Anolis sagrei: one gene and its partner. The protein of the gene in region 1 interacts with the protein of each later gene in a biochemical or structural test. Links are inferred from orthologs where the notes say so. Each region holds a gene or a part of one and is shown in the gene's direction. Other genes may lie near its edges.

Evidence for each region. The genes of interacting proteins can lie anywhere in the genome.
Region 2: the proteins of RXFP3 (region 1) and RLN3 form a complex in vitro, tested with the Homo sapiens proteins (2 studies listed by BioGRID, with this or other methods). The link is inferred for Anolis sagrei from reciprocal best matches to the Homo sapiens genes RXFP3 and RLN3.

Annotation. Positions count from the first base shown.
Region 1 is NC_090022.1:280,433,646-280,441,131, reverse strand, and holds the start of RXFP3 (relaxin-3 receptor 1), read left to right. Parts: upstream 1-4,482; 5' UTR 4,483-5,048; coding exon 5,049-6,401; 3' UTR 6,402-7,486. UniProt on the Homo sapiens protein: Receptor for RNL3/relaxin-3. Binding of the ligand inhibit cAMP accumulation.
Region 2 is NC_090022.1:159,937,195-159,944,648, reverse strand, and holds the start of RLN3 (relaxin-3), read left to right. Parts: upstream 1-4,432; 5' UTR 4,433-4,713; coding exon 4,714-4,873; intron 4,874-7,454. UniProt on the Homo sapiens protein: May play a role in neuropeptide signaling processes. Ligand for LGR7, RXFP3 and RXFP4.

The DNA of each region.
Region 1 (7,486 bases):
AAGCCTAGCAATCTTGTGCAATGGACAAGAATGCTGGGAGTTGAAGTACAAGTCCTCTGGAGAGCCATAGGTAGTACAACCTGCTTTTAACTGTTAAAATATGACTATCTTAGATTAAGGACTGGGAAGGAAGGAAGGAGCCTCTCTGGTGGCGAAGCCTAGAGGAGGTCTTGGCCTGCTACATCTCCCAGAAAATCAGCAAGGCCTGCTGGCAGCCACTGTCCCCTGGAGGTCTTTGCCACAGCATCCTGGGACAATAAGGAAAACAAGTTGTCTATTTGGTTTATTGGAGACTTGAGAAGCTTGAGCCCAAATGGAGAATATAATGCAGAACCATATCTCTTGTGAGATATTCAACATAGTGGTGATGTTATGGTTTTTGGACCAGGAAATAATTGTTACTGCTTCATCCACTGAAAGTCTGACTGTTGTCCGGCAGATTAAGGATGGGAAAATTACTTTCAGAGTCTGCCTTAAGAGTGACATTCCAGGGGTTCACAGACCTGCAAATCAAAGAAGGAGACCAAAAGGACCCAGCTTTTAACTTTAAGTTTCATATTGCTATGATTAAACCTTTCAGCATTTCAGACATTGAAAATAGGAGAGAACCCATAAAGAACCAGTGAGACCATGCAAAATGGTGCCATGGGTTAAGGAAGTATGGGCATTTTGGGAAGCTTCACCGGCTGTAATTGGCCTCAAGATCAAAGTTTTCCTACCAATGTTTTAAATAATCTTTCTCCCTAACTTTTCAATTTCATCCATTGAATCAGGTCTTATTTTGTGTATTCTGCCATTCCGGTCAATGGATGCTGGTGTTTCTGATATTAGGGGATTAGGTAATCCATTGTTGGTTTTAACCCCAACTTGGAAGGAATTGTCAAAGGTTCTGAACATTGTGTCTGAAGTAGTTTCAGTACCTTAGCTAGCTCTTGGAATAAAATCTGGAGTGGATAGATTACCCCATTGATGTCAGATACTTCAGCCACCCTTGAAGGTAGGAGTTAAGAACAATGAATGAAAGTAAGTCCAATGAAGGTAGTGGCACTTATTTCCAGACAAGTAGGTGTAGTATTGTGCCCATAATATTGGCAACATTTGCATTTCTAAGGGTTTGAATTTATACCTAAAGAAGGCTTTAAGCCTAAAGTCAAAAGAAACAATGAGAAACATTCCTTCCCATATCATAGAGCAAGTACAAGCAGTCCACAGGATTTTATGATTCATCAAACATGTGCCATAATCCTACTCCTGTTACATTCATAGAAACATAGAATCATAGAATTGGAAGAGACCTCGTGGGCCATCCAGTCCAACCCCCTGCCAAGAAGTAGGAAAATCGTATTAAATGCACCCCCAATAGATGGCCATCCAGCCTCTGTTTAAAAGCCTCCAAGGAAGGGGCCTCCACCACACTCAGCGGCAGAGAGTTCCACTGCTGAACAGCTCTCACCATTAGGAAGTTCTCAAGAATCACATGAAAGCAAGTTCCACTTAGTTGAATGATGCTTACTCACAGGTACATGAGTATAGTATTGCAGCCTTGAATTACAATCCTACACATGTTGCCTACTCAATGACTGCAATTGCATTTATTTCCAGATAAGTAGGTGTATTTCCAGATAAGTATTGTGCCCATAATGTGACAACATTTGCATTTGTAAGGGTTTGGATTTAGACGTAAAGAAGGCTTTACACCTAAAGTCAAAAAAAAAACAATTAGAAACATTCCTTCCCATAGCATAGAGCAACTTTTTATTTATCGTGTCGGAACCAAACTGAGGGTACAGTTCTAATGTATTTAAAAAACACACTAAGTTTTAAAACTTGGCATTATACTAAATGTCCTTTGACCAGTAGTTGGCACTTGGAATGCCTCTGGTGTTGCTGTAAGAAGGTCTTCCATTATGCATGTGGCAGGGCTCAGGCTGCATTGTAATGGGTGGTCTGCAGTTTGCTCTTCTCCACACTCGCAGGTTGTGGACTCCACTTTGTAGTCTGATTTCTTAAGGCTGGGTCTGCATCTCATGGTGCCAGAGTGCAGTCTGTTCAGCACCTTCCAAGTCACCCAGTCTTCTGTGTGCCCAGGAAGGAGTCTTGCATCAGTCACGGATTGAGGTTTCGGGTTTTAGCCTGCCACTTTTGGACTTTTGGATGTTCCTGTGAGTTTCTCTGTAGATCTTAGAAAACAATTTCTTGATTTAAGGTATTGGCGTACTGACTGATATCCAAACAGAGAATGGGCTGGAGATGTCACAGTCTTGGCCCTTTCATTATTGGCTGCTACTTCCCAGTGGATATCAAGTGGTGCAATACTGGCTAAACAATATAATTGCTCCAGTGGTGTGGGGCATAGAAATCCTGTGATAATGCGGTATGTCTCATTAAGAGACACATCTACTGTTTTAACATGGTGAGATGTGCTCCCCACTGGGCATGCGTACTCAGCAGCTGAGTAGCAAAGCACAAGGGCAGATGTCTTCACAGTGTCTGGTTGTGAACCCCAGGTTGAGGATTTACAGATATTTATTTATTTATTTATTTGCTTTATTTCTATACTGCATTTTTCAGCCCTTGACAGGCGACTCAATGCGGTAGATAGATCAACTACAGGATTGTATGATTATTCAAAGATGTGCCATAATCCTATTCCTGCTACATTCTTTTAGATTTTTAAAAACTTCACATGACCCCTGCATTTTATTTACTTTCACTTCAAAATAAAAATCCTGTTAAATAATATACTTTAATAATTGCAACTAGCTTTTCAAATATTTTCATGCCATGTTGATTTTTTAAAATTCTTCAAATGTTTTGAAGAATTTGAAACATATTCAATTAAAATATAGCTCACTTTCCCAAAAACTCAAATAGAACAAATAAAAAGTGTAGACAACCGACAGAATACAATATAAACTTTTAAAACAACATTTTAGCATAGTTGTCTACCAGAATCTACTCAGTGAAGTAATGAAGGTGGCCAGACCACAAAACCAGCCAGAATAAGTGCTTCTCTGAAGGCAGTTAGTGAGCTGCAGCTTTGGACTTTTGCTGTAATCTTTCTCCTTAGCTTTGCAGCCATTATGATGAAATTCTTGGTTTCAATATGAACCAATCTAGGGTGGCTGAAGTATCTAACATCAGTAGGGTGGTCAATCCACTCCAGATTTTAGCCCCAATTTTAAGAGAGCTATCTAAGGAACTAAACCTATTTCAGACATAATGTTCAGAACTGCCAGCCTCCACTGGCCTAAATGGCAGAACACACAAAATGGGACCCGATTCAAGAGATGAAACTGAAAAGTTAAGGAGGAAGATTCTTTATAACACAGGTAGGAAAACTTTGATCTTGAGGCCAAATACATTTGCTGAAGCTTCCCAAAATACCTACTTTTCCTTCCCCATGGCACCATTTTGTGTGGCTTCACTGCTGCTTCATGGAATCTTTTTTGTTTTCAATAGCTGATATGGAGAAAAACCAATTATAGCAATGTGAAGGTTAAAAGTTGAGTACTCTTGGTCCCCCTCTTTGGTTTGCGGGTCTGCCAACCACTGTCACTCTTAAGCAGACATGGGCAAACTTGTGCCCTATAAGTGTTTTGGACTTCGACTCCCACCATCCCCAACAGCCTCAGGCCCTTTCCTTTCCCCCCTCAGCTGCTTAAGTGGCTGAGGGGGAAAAGGAAGGGGCCTGAAGCTGTTAGGAATAATGGGAGTTGAAGTCAAAAACATCAGCGGCTGAGGGAGGAAAGAAAGGGGCCTGAGGCTGTTGAGAATGATGGGAGTTGAATTCCAAAACACTAGCGGCTGAGGGGGGAAAGGAAGGGGCCTGAGGCTGTTAGGAATGGTGGGAGTTGAAGTCCAAAACACCAGTGGCGGAAGGGGGAAAGGAAGGGGCCTGAGGCTGTTGGGAATGATGGGAGTTGAAGTCCAAAACACCAGTGGTTGAGAGGGAAAAGGAAAGGGCCCGAGACTGTTAGGAATGGTGGGAGTTAAAGTCCAAAACATCAGTGGCTGGGGGGGGGGGGAGGAAGGAGGGAGACTGAGGCTGTTTGGAATGGTGGGAGTTGAAGTCCAAAATACTAGCGGCTGAGGGGAGAAAGGAAGGGGCCTGAGGCTGTTGGGAATGGTGGGAGTCCAAAACATCATTGGCTGAGGGGGGAAAGGAAGGGGCCTGAGGCTGTTAGGAAAGGGGGGAGTTGAAGTCCAAAACACCTAGAGGTCCCAAGTTGACCCATGCCTTGTGTAAAATCACTATAGACTTGTCAGACATACCTGGATAGAGTGAATTTGGGAAGGAGAGGAAGACATTTAAACTAATCTAATGGCAAAATGAAGGAAGGAGGGTGGGGTGGGCGAGTCCCCCCAGAGATGTGGGCGCTGATCTGGACGTGAAGGAGGGCGAGAGGGGCGGGCGAAGCCTCCGCTTTCCAGGTGGCTGGATTTCAGCACCAGGGAGAGCTCCCGGGGGCGTCGCTGCGCACGCACCTTCCAGGCAGCCGCTGGAGAGAGAAAGCGAGACAGAGGCAGGAGTCATTCTCCGCCGGAGGGAAAGGCAGAGAGGAGTTGTAGCTAGCTACAGGCTGCTCAGCAGTCTCTCTCCAGAGAGACATTCCCAGACTTTGGCGGAGCTACACCTTCCATTTCCGACCTGCTTTCTGCACCAGCTTCTGCAGCCACCTCGGAAAACACTTGCTTGCTATCAGATTCTCCGTCATTTTCCTTGGGAACTGATCGGATACTTTTTTTCCCAGTCAGCATTGATTCCTCTCCCTTCACTCTTATGCATCCGACATAGAAACAACTATGAAAATGAACCTCTCTGCTTTTCTTGAACTTGAAGGCTTCATGGTGATGGACGTTTGAAGTATACCTTGGATCTCCAGCCTTAACCCCAGTCAAGGTCTCTTCGCTTTTGGAAGTGCTTCTTTTTGGCTCCAGGGAAATCTGGGGGAGACACCTGAAGGAGGCCCCTCCCTTTTTGGTCTCCCGGTTGTTAGTGCTTTATAAAAAGGGTTGTTGGAACAGTACTCTCTTCCCTGCCTGGGATGGATGCCCTCTGTGAATACAGCTACTGCTCCCTGGCAGCCAGCATAAAGGAAACAAGGATGGGAGAACTCTTGGATTCCCTTCCCAGCCTTGTGGAGGAAAGGCTGCTGGCCAATGGGACCAACGAGTCCTTGCAAGAGCTCTGGAGGAACCTGGTCAACTTGGAGAAGAGCGAAGGTGTGCAAGGGAGCGCCTCTGTGGTCCTGCGGATCTTCATCTCCATCGTCTACTCCGTGGTGTGTGCCCTGGGTCTGGTGGGCAACATCTTGGTGCTCTACTTGATGAAGAGCAAATGGAAAAAGTCCTCCATCAACCTCTTTGTGACCTGCCTGGCCCTGACTGATTTCCAGTTTGTGCTGACGCTCCCTTTCTGGGCTGTGGAGAATGCTCTGGATTACACCTGGCTCTTTGGCAATGCCATGTGCAAGATCCTTTCCTATGTGACAGCCATGAACATGTATGCCAGTGTCTTCTTCCTCACTGCCATGAGCATCGCCCGCTACCATGCTGTGGCCTCTGCCTTGAAAACCAGAAGACAAAATGGGCTCTCGGGTGCCTGCTCTCCAGCCAAATGGCTATGTGTTCTCATATGGATCTTGGCCATTCTAGCTTCCTTGCCCACTGGTATCTTCTCCACCACTACTACAATCTTTGGTGAGGAATTCTGCCTCATCCGCATTCCTGATAGTGAAGGCAACAATACCTGGTTGGGGATCTACCAAACCCAGAAGGTGTTGCTGGGTTTTCTGTTGCCATTGGGCATCATCACTCTCTGTTATCTCTTGTTGGTGCGCTTCATCAGTGACAGGCATGTGGGTGCTAGTTCTTGTGGCCCGAGCACTAAACGCAGGACCAAAGTGACCAAATCGGTGACTATCGTAGTGCTGTCTTTCTTCCTCTGCTGGCTGCCCAACCAAGCGCTCACCACTTGGGGCATCTTCATCAAGCTCAACATCCTGCACTTCAGCCATGCTTACTTCCTGTCTCAGGCATACTTCTTCCCTATCACGGTGTGTCTGGCACACTCCAACAGCTGCCTCAACCCCATCTTCTACTGCCTGATGCGCAGGGAGTTTCGCAAAGCCCTCAAGAAGCTGCTCTGGAGGATCACCTCACCCTCCATCACTACTATGCGCCCTTTCACAGCCACCACTAAGCCCGAGCACGAGGAACAAGTACTGCATAGCTTGATGCCTGCTAATCCAGCAAATACTTCTACTCCTTCCCCTCACCCTCCACCAGGTGTAGCAGTAACTCTACCGGATATTGTCTCATATCCCCCTGGGGTGGTTGTGTACAGTAGCCGCTCTGATGCCTTGCCTACCAGCACCTCTGCTGAGCACCACTGTTAAGCTTCACCATGTAGGAAGGCTACAACTGGTTCCTGGCCCCAGGGTCTAAAGTAACTGGCAAGTAATTGTGCTGGAACCAAGCTTCCCCTATCTTGGAGATGTGGAAGTAATAAAATGGCTATGGGAACGTTCCATCCATCAGAAGGAAAACAGGAAGGGAACAATTTGTTTAAGACTTTCCCACTAACCAGGATGGAAACAACCCATAGCATTTATGTATGGCACTAAGAAAAGTGGGGACCTATGGCACTGATGAGTCTCTAGTATGACCACACTTGTAATACTGTGTACAGTTGTAGTCACCGCTCCTCCAAAAGGATATAATAGAGTTGGAAAGAAGATGCAAGAAAAGGAAGCCAAAATGGTCAAAGGGGTGCCGGGTGTCTTCTAAGAAGAAAGGTTTGGGGATTTTTTAAGCAGAGCACTATTTATGTTTTTATGAGGGGGTTACTATTATTGAAGAATATGGTGATTTGGCTATCTTAAGAAAGTGGGTTTTTGCTCTACTCCAGAAGAAAAAAAAGTCTTTGAATCCTATTGGTAACTCCAACTAAAGTAGATTTGTTGAATCAGTGGAATTTCTCTAAATCTTGACTCACTATTTAACAAATCATTAAATGGGCATACAATAGTTAAGACTACTAATAGGAATCAGTCAAAATAATTATTCATCCGTACAGGGTATATGCCTGGTAGTTTTGTTGACACACCAAAATTGCCAATTCTGTTGATCATCCACATTTGCAGGTTTAACATTTGCATATTTGATTATCTGCAGATTTGATTAATATGGTCTCTCTAGGTCCTCCATTGTGACTCTATGTTCAATGTCTGCTGAAAGGTGACCACAGGGTTTTGCTGGAACGCTTAAAGATTTCCACTGAGAACCTCTCTAGAAATGTCTAGGTTCTTCAGCACAACTGTGAGATTAACTTCCGGTGAAAATAGATTACACTAAAGGACTTAGAGATTCCAAAATAGGTGATCTCTCTGGTAACAAGAAAAAGTGAGGAGTGGGTTTCTTGAGTTTATCTTCTTTTACCTGTGTCCTTAACTCCAGTGAATGTGGAGGGTCTAGTGCAGTC
Region 2 (7,454 bases), about 120 Mb from region 1:
AACCTTGTCTAACAAAATACAGCCAAACTAAGCCTGTGGAAGAGCACATATAGAGAAGAAAGCAGACATACTCCAGTGGCTGAAGTGAGAAATACTGCAAAACTTTCCAGATTCTACATGTTCAGTGTCAATGTGAGTGTCCCAAATGTGGGTAAAAAAAAAAGAGTTCCTCCAGCCTCATCAACACTGACCATTTAATGATATTAGACGCTAGCTTCAAACTGATGCAGCCAAAGAACAAACCCCATTGCAGTTAAAGGAGAATCATAGCACTATAGGTGTGTAGTTGAAAGAAGCTTCAGACGAATGCTTGGGAGATCCAGGTCCTAGTCCCCATTGTTCCTATGAATATTTGGGACCCTCGCACAGTCTCTCTGACTGTGAACCTTGAACAGCCCCATGAGGCTCTTTTCGAGGATAAAGTTGGGGCCGAGAATATGACTTGCCCAAAGTCACCCAGTGGGTTTTTATAGTTAAACTAGCCGTCCCCTCCCACACGTTGCTGTGGCCCACATGGGGTTCTGTGTGGGAGGCTTGCCCAATTCTATCGTTGGTGGGGTTCAGAATGCTCTGTGATTTGTAAGTGAACTATAAATCCCAGCAACTACAACTCCCAAATGTCAAGATTCTATTTTCTCCAAACTCCACCAGTGTTCACATCTGGGCATATTGAGTATTCGTGTAGAGTTTGGTCCAGATCCACCATTGTTTGAGTGCATAGTGATCTCTGGATGTAGGTGAACTACAACTCCAAAACCAAAGGACACTGCCCACCAAACCCTTCCAGTATTTTCTGTTGGTCATGGGAGAACTGTGTGCCAAGTTTGGTTCAATTCCATCGTTGGTGGGGTTCAGAATGCTCTTTGATTGTAGCTGAACTATAAATCCCAGCAACTCCAACTCCCAAATGACAAAATCAATTTTTTTGAGTGAAGGACATACATTGGGTTGTTAGGAGACTTGTGTCCAAATTTGGTGTCAATTCGTCCACTGGTTTTTGAAATCTGTTAATCCCACAAATGAACATTACATTTTTATTTATATAGATTGGACCCAGTACTTCAGCACTCAAACCACTATATCATGATGGCTCTCAAAGTGGGCATTTGATAAGATATATTGCAAATAATAGGGCCCCATGCTGATATATATCCACATGGTCAAAGCAATGGTATTCCCCGTAGTATAAAATGACCCCCAGCTTTTCCAATTAAAATATAGAGTTTGGGACATACTCGCCGTATAAGACTACCCCTCTTCCAACACACACCAAATAAAAATTTTAAAAGCATCAGATTTTATTTCAATATGGTAATTTTCTTATTACTGTACCTCCTTCTCTGCCTCTCAGATCTCACATCTGCGCACCTGCACCACTTCACTGCAGTCTTCAGGAGCGAGATCAGAGAGGCAGAGGAGGAGGTACGGTAATAGGATGCAAGGGTGGGCCAGACAGGTAAAAGAGTTGTGTTTTTCTGGGCCCAGAGCCTGTCGATCTCTTTTTTCCATACCCTGGGCAACCCAGACGCCTGAAGCTTGCTCCACCCTTCACTTACACCTTCCAGGTGAGGTGCCCCTTCACCTCAACATCGGGACTGCATTAAGTCCACGAATCCTGATGAATGGATTTTCTTCTACCATACTTGTACGACGTCGCCCTTAATGATTTCTTACAGTTGCTGCATAAGGCAGGGACGTGGCCGTTGCCATTTTTGAGCTCCCCTCACCATATGCAGCAACCACAGATTCTCCAATCTGGATTGGAAGTTTCAGCACCCGCTCTATAAGACTACTTCCAGTGTATAAGGCTTCTCCCGCATATAAGATGACTCTCATGCATAAGGCTACTCCAGCATATAAGATGACTCCTACGTATAAGACGACTCCTGTGTATAAGATGACCCCTGACTTTTGAGAATATTTTCTTGGGTTAAAAAGTAATCTTATATGCCAGAATATACGGTACTTTGGCCACATTATGAGAAGACAGGAAAGCTTAGAGAAGGCAACGATGCTTGGGAAAATGGAAGGAAAAAGGAAGAGGGGCTGACCAAGGGCAAGATGGATGGATGGTATTCTTGAAGTGGCTGGCTTGACTTTGAAGGAGCTGGGGGTGGCCACGGCCGACAGGGAGCTCTAGCGTGGTCTGGTCCATGAGGTCACAAAGAGTCAGAAGCAATTGAACGAATAAAAAACAACAACAATGCTGATATATGTGTTCCTGTCTTGTCATATTTAGCTTATTATTTAGTGTCATAAAGGTGAACTATACCTATAAATATGTAAATGTATCAACAAGGCAGGAATATGAATATTGATGTGGTGCCCTGATATTACCATTATATTTCACCACTTACTCAGTTGGTTAAGACTGAGGCCCCTTCCACACAGCTGAATAAAATCCCACATTTTCTGCTTTGAACTGGAATATATGGCAGTATGGACTCAGATAACCATACAGATATTGTGAGTTTTTCTGCCTTGGTATTCTGGGTGGGTTATATGGCTGTGTGGAAGGGCCTTGATAGGAAGTTTGCCATCTGAAGGACTATTACAATAGCTCTCCAACCTTGATTAAAACAAGGGCAGATAGTATCCTAGTATAAAAAAGCACAAATAGAAAGAAGGCAGTTCACCTTCTTGTATTGGCTTGGTGTAACATAATGTGGCTATAAGAATAGAGAGACCAGGTTGCCAATATCCGCTGGATAATGGAGAAAGGCAGGGAGTTTCAGAAAAACATCTATTTTTGCTTCATTGACTATTCTAAAGCCTTTGACTGTGTGGATCATAATAAATTGTGGCAAGTTCTTGGTGGGATGGGCATCCCAAGCCACCTTGTCTCTCTCCTGAGGAATCTGTACAAGGACCAAGTAGCAACAGTCAGAACTGACCACGGAACAACAGACTGGTTCAAGATTGGGAAAGGCGTACGGCAAGGCTGCATACTCTCACCCAACATATTCAACTTGTATGCAGAACACATCATGCGATGTGCGGGGCTTGATGAATGCAAAGCTGGGGTGAAAATTGCTGGAAGAAACATTAACAACCTCAGATATGCAGATGACACCACTCTGATGGCCGAAAGCGAGGAGGAGCTGAGGAGCCTTCTAATCAAGGTGAAAGAAGAAAGCGCAAAAGCTGGGTTGCAGCTAAACATAAAAAAACCAAGATTATGGCAACAAGAATGATTGACAACTGGAAAATAGAGGGAGAAAACGTGGAGGCCGCGACAGACTTTGTATTTCTAGGCGCAAAGATTAATGCAGATGCAGACTGTGGCCAGGAAATCAGAAGACGCTTACTTCTTGGGAGGAGAGCAATGTCCAGTCTCGATAAAATAGTAAAGAGTAGAGACATCAGACTGGCAACAAAGATCCGCCTAGTCAAAGCCATGGTATTCCCTGTAGTAACCTACGGATGTGAGAGCTGGACCTTAAGGAAGGCTGAGCGAAGGAAGATCGATGCTTTTGAACTGTGGTGTTGGAGGAAAGTTCTGAAAGTGCCTTAGACTGCGAGAAGATCCAACCAGTCCATCCTCCAGGAAATAAAGCCCGACTGCTCACTGGAGGGAAGGATACTAGAGACAAAGTTGAAGTACTTTGGCCACATCATGAGGAGACAGCAAAGCCTAGAGAAGACAATTATGCTGGGGAAAGTGGAAGGCAAAAGGAAGAGGGGCCGACCAAGGGTAAGATGGATGGATGGCATCCTTGAAGTGGCTGGACTGACCTTGAAGGAGCTGGGGGTGGTGACGGCTGACAGGGAGCTCTGGCGTGGACTGGTCCATGAGGTCACGAAGAGTCGGAGACGACTGAACGAATGAACAAGAATAGAGAATAATAATAATAATAATAATAATAATAATAATAATACTTTAGTTATACCCCGCCACAATCTCCCCAAGGGACTCGGAGCAGCTTACATGAGGCCAAGCCCAACTACACATCAATAAAACAAGAAAGCAATAAACAAAAATAATACAATTAATATAAATCACATATAAATAATAACACACAAGGATTTAAAAACCTATGGCCGGGCCAAATGTAATAGTTTAAAGTTAAAAAAGGATGTGGTAGCTTTGAAAGTGCCAGTAGTCTGGCAATAGTCATGTCTGAATGAGAAAAGTTACTTTTTCAGGTGACAACTTCCAGAACGTCAAACCTGTTAGTGAGAGAACAAACAAAACCCAGCTCCCACTATGACTCATAATACGAAGCCTTTTGGAGCAGCAGCAGTGATTGGGAAGGTTTCCTTTTTTAAGGATTTGAGCTCTCAAGAGTTGTCTGAGAGATTTAGGGAGTTGTAGCCCACAAAATGAACTTTTCCAAGCTCTGCGTCATTGTCTATTCCCAGCATTTGCTTTTCCATGGCTCTGTCTCGATGCACCTGGCTTTTCAATGTGTACTCTGTGAAAGGCCAGGTAATGATTCCTTACTCGCTATGATGATAACAAGCAAAAGGTTATCTCTGACTAGTTGGCACAGTCGACGCAAGAATCACTGCCCACCACCCCCACCGCCAGTGTCCAAGAAAGGTCTTCACCTGTTCTCTGCTGATAATTGGGTAGATAACGTGGATGGACATCCTTGGCTACCTTGCGCATAGATCTGACTGCTATAAAGAAGACTCACGGAGAGAAGCAGCAGGCTATCGGGAGCTGTGTGCCTGCAGACCTTTACTTTCCAATCTTGTCTGTGCCCAACCATGCACAAGTTTCTCTTTGCTTTGGTCCTGGGGGTGCTGCTCTTGGAGATGAGGCTGGGGAGTGAGGCCAGGACACCTCCCTACGGCGTGAAATTGTGCGGCAGAGAGTTCATCCGAGCGGTTATCTTCACCTGCGGGGGATCTCGCTGGAGACGGGCAGGTGAGTGGAAATTGCTAGGGGACGGCTGGGGAACTGGGTCTAGATCAGAGCTTGGGGAATCTCCTGTTTGGGGTACAAATCCCAGAATCTCCCACACAGTGTGGTCATGTTGGTCAGGAGGTTCTGGAAATTGTCGTTCAAAAATATAACCTTTCCAACTTCTTCTCTAGCTGAGAAATTAGAAAAGACAGAAGCCTAAAGATCATATCCTTATTGGCCAGCATCCTGTTGGTGACCTAAACATGCATAAATTGTGAATTATTGGCCACCAAACAATATATTTATTTTTTATTTATTTATTTACAACATATTTATGCTGCCCTTCTCACCCCAAAGGGGACTCAGAGCAGCTTACAGGTTATTTGTACAAATTATTAGACTGGCTTACAAGTTATTAGATTGTTTTTTGTTTTGTTTTTTGTTTGTTTTGGGGTTTTTTTTTGTCATGTCAGAAGTGACTCGTGGTGTGAGAGAATTGGCCGTCTGCAAGGACGTTGCCCAGGGGACGCCTGGATGTTTTGATGTTTTATCATCCTTGTGGGAGGCTTCTCTCATGTCCCCGTATGAGGAGCTGAAGCTGATAGAGGGAGTTCATCCACCTCTCCCCGGATTCGAACCTGCGACCTGTCAGTCTTCAGTTCTGCCGGCACAGGGGTTTAACCCACTGCGCCACCGGGGGCTCATTAGATTGGTAGTATATAAAAAAAATGCAAAGTGAAGTCACCCTCCCACTCCCAAAGTAGCCCAGGTTCATAGACCAGTCTTCCTAAGTTGTCATCAAAGATGGCGGGTGTTGAGGAAGCCGCAATGGAGGACAGTTCTGAATGCAGCCAGCGGCGATGGTGCAGCGAAGAGGTAGGTGTAAAATGGCTATAGGGAACCTGGCAGCAATGAAAGATGTCGATATATATTCTAACTAGCTGTTTCCCTGCCACGCGTTGCTGTGGCCCAGTCTATGTATGTGTCTTGTGTGTGTATATAATATATATATGTGGTTTTGTGCATGCATTGTAATGTTTTTTTTTTGCTGTTTTAAGTCCCTTCTACTGTGTTTTTCAGTGTTTTTATGAGTGATGGTCACTCGTTGGCCTGATAGGTGTATTGTGTCCAAATTTGGTGTCAATTTGCCCAGTGGTTTTTGAGTTATGTTAGTCCCACAAACAAACATTACATCTTTATTTATATAGATAGTGGTGGAAGCAGAGTTGTGCATACAGTGATGCTGCATGCTGTGCTTTCTCATGGCACTTGCCAAACCAATTTGCATGTTACAACTCTACACTGCAACTGTATGTTGTACAATTTCATGTTGTGCAATGGGCAACAAAACCCGTAATGTATTTTTTTTTGTTTTTTGGCTTTTTAAGTCTCTTCTGCTGTGTTTTTCAATGTTTTTGCAACCGATGATCACTTATTGGCCTGATAGGTGTATTGTGTCCAAATTTGGTGTCAATTCGCCCAGTGGCTTTTGAGTTATGTTAATCCCACAAACAAACATTACATTTTTGTTTATATAGATATACCTGGGATCACATAAAAATTTCTTGGGTGGAAAAGGTTCGCAGGTGGAAAAGGTTTAAGAATCCCTGATATAAGCAAATGGAAACATAGTACTACTAGATGAATCACTTTCACACTTCACTGCACTTCTGCTCACCTTACCCAGTGAATAAGCTCTGTGGTTTTTAAATTTTGGGTTTTTGTTTTTTAAATTTACAGTTCCGTCTGGTTTCAGTAAGTCCTCAATCTTTGTTATTTCATTATGTTCCAGTTTCTTTAGCATATTGCGATATGGCTGGGGTTTTCTGTTGTCTATGGAGCCTATTGGGAGCTTGTCTATTAGTGGGAGTTTGTTCTGCTGTTATCCTCAACAGGTCATTGTTGATAACAAAAGGCCTCCTTTTGTGTTTTTTAGGTCATTCCCCCCCAATTTTCCCTATAATGCAAGATCCATATTCCCATCCATTTGTTAATTTCTCTATCCTAACCCATTTTTTGGGCTCTCCAATATCTAATTCTAGTAATCTAGCCGGTTAACAGGCTTCATAGTAATTCTGGAGGTAAGGTGTTCCCTAGACTCCATTTTCTTGTGGAGAAAAAAATATTGAATTTGCAATTCTGGTTTTACTAGAACCTTCTGCCCATGTTTTAATTGAGTTATCCTATTTCTTTATTATTTTAGGTTGAATGCTACATGGGAGGCATTGAAATAAGTACAAAAATTTGGACAGCATCATCATTTTATATGCCTTCACCCTTGTTGTTATATCCCAATTCCATTTTTTCCAATTGTTGATTTGTTTTCTTCCATAGTTGGTTATAATTTATCTGAATTATATTATTTAAATTTTTAGGTATATACACCCCTAAGTATTTTAATTTCTTTCCCCCCAGTATGACCTATAGAATGGATTGGACTTCTTTTACCTCCTTCCAGTTCATGTTTTTATATAGAACTAGCTGTCCCCTGCCACGTGTTGCTGTGGCCCACATGGCTGTTCTGTGTTGGAGTTTTAGCCCAATTCTATCGTTGGTGGGGTTCAGAATGCTCTGTGATTGTAGGTGAACTACAAATCCCAGG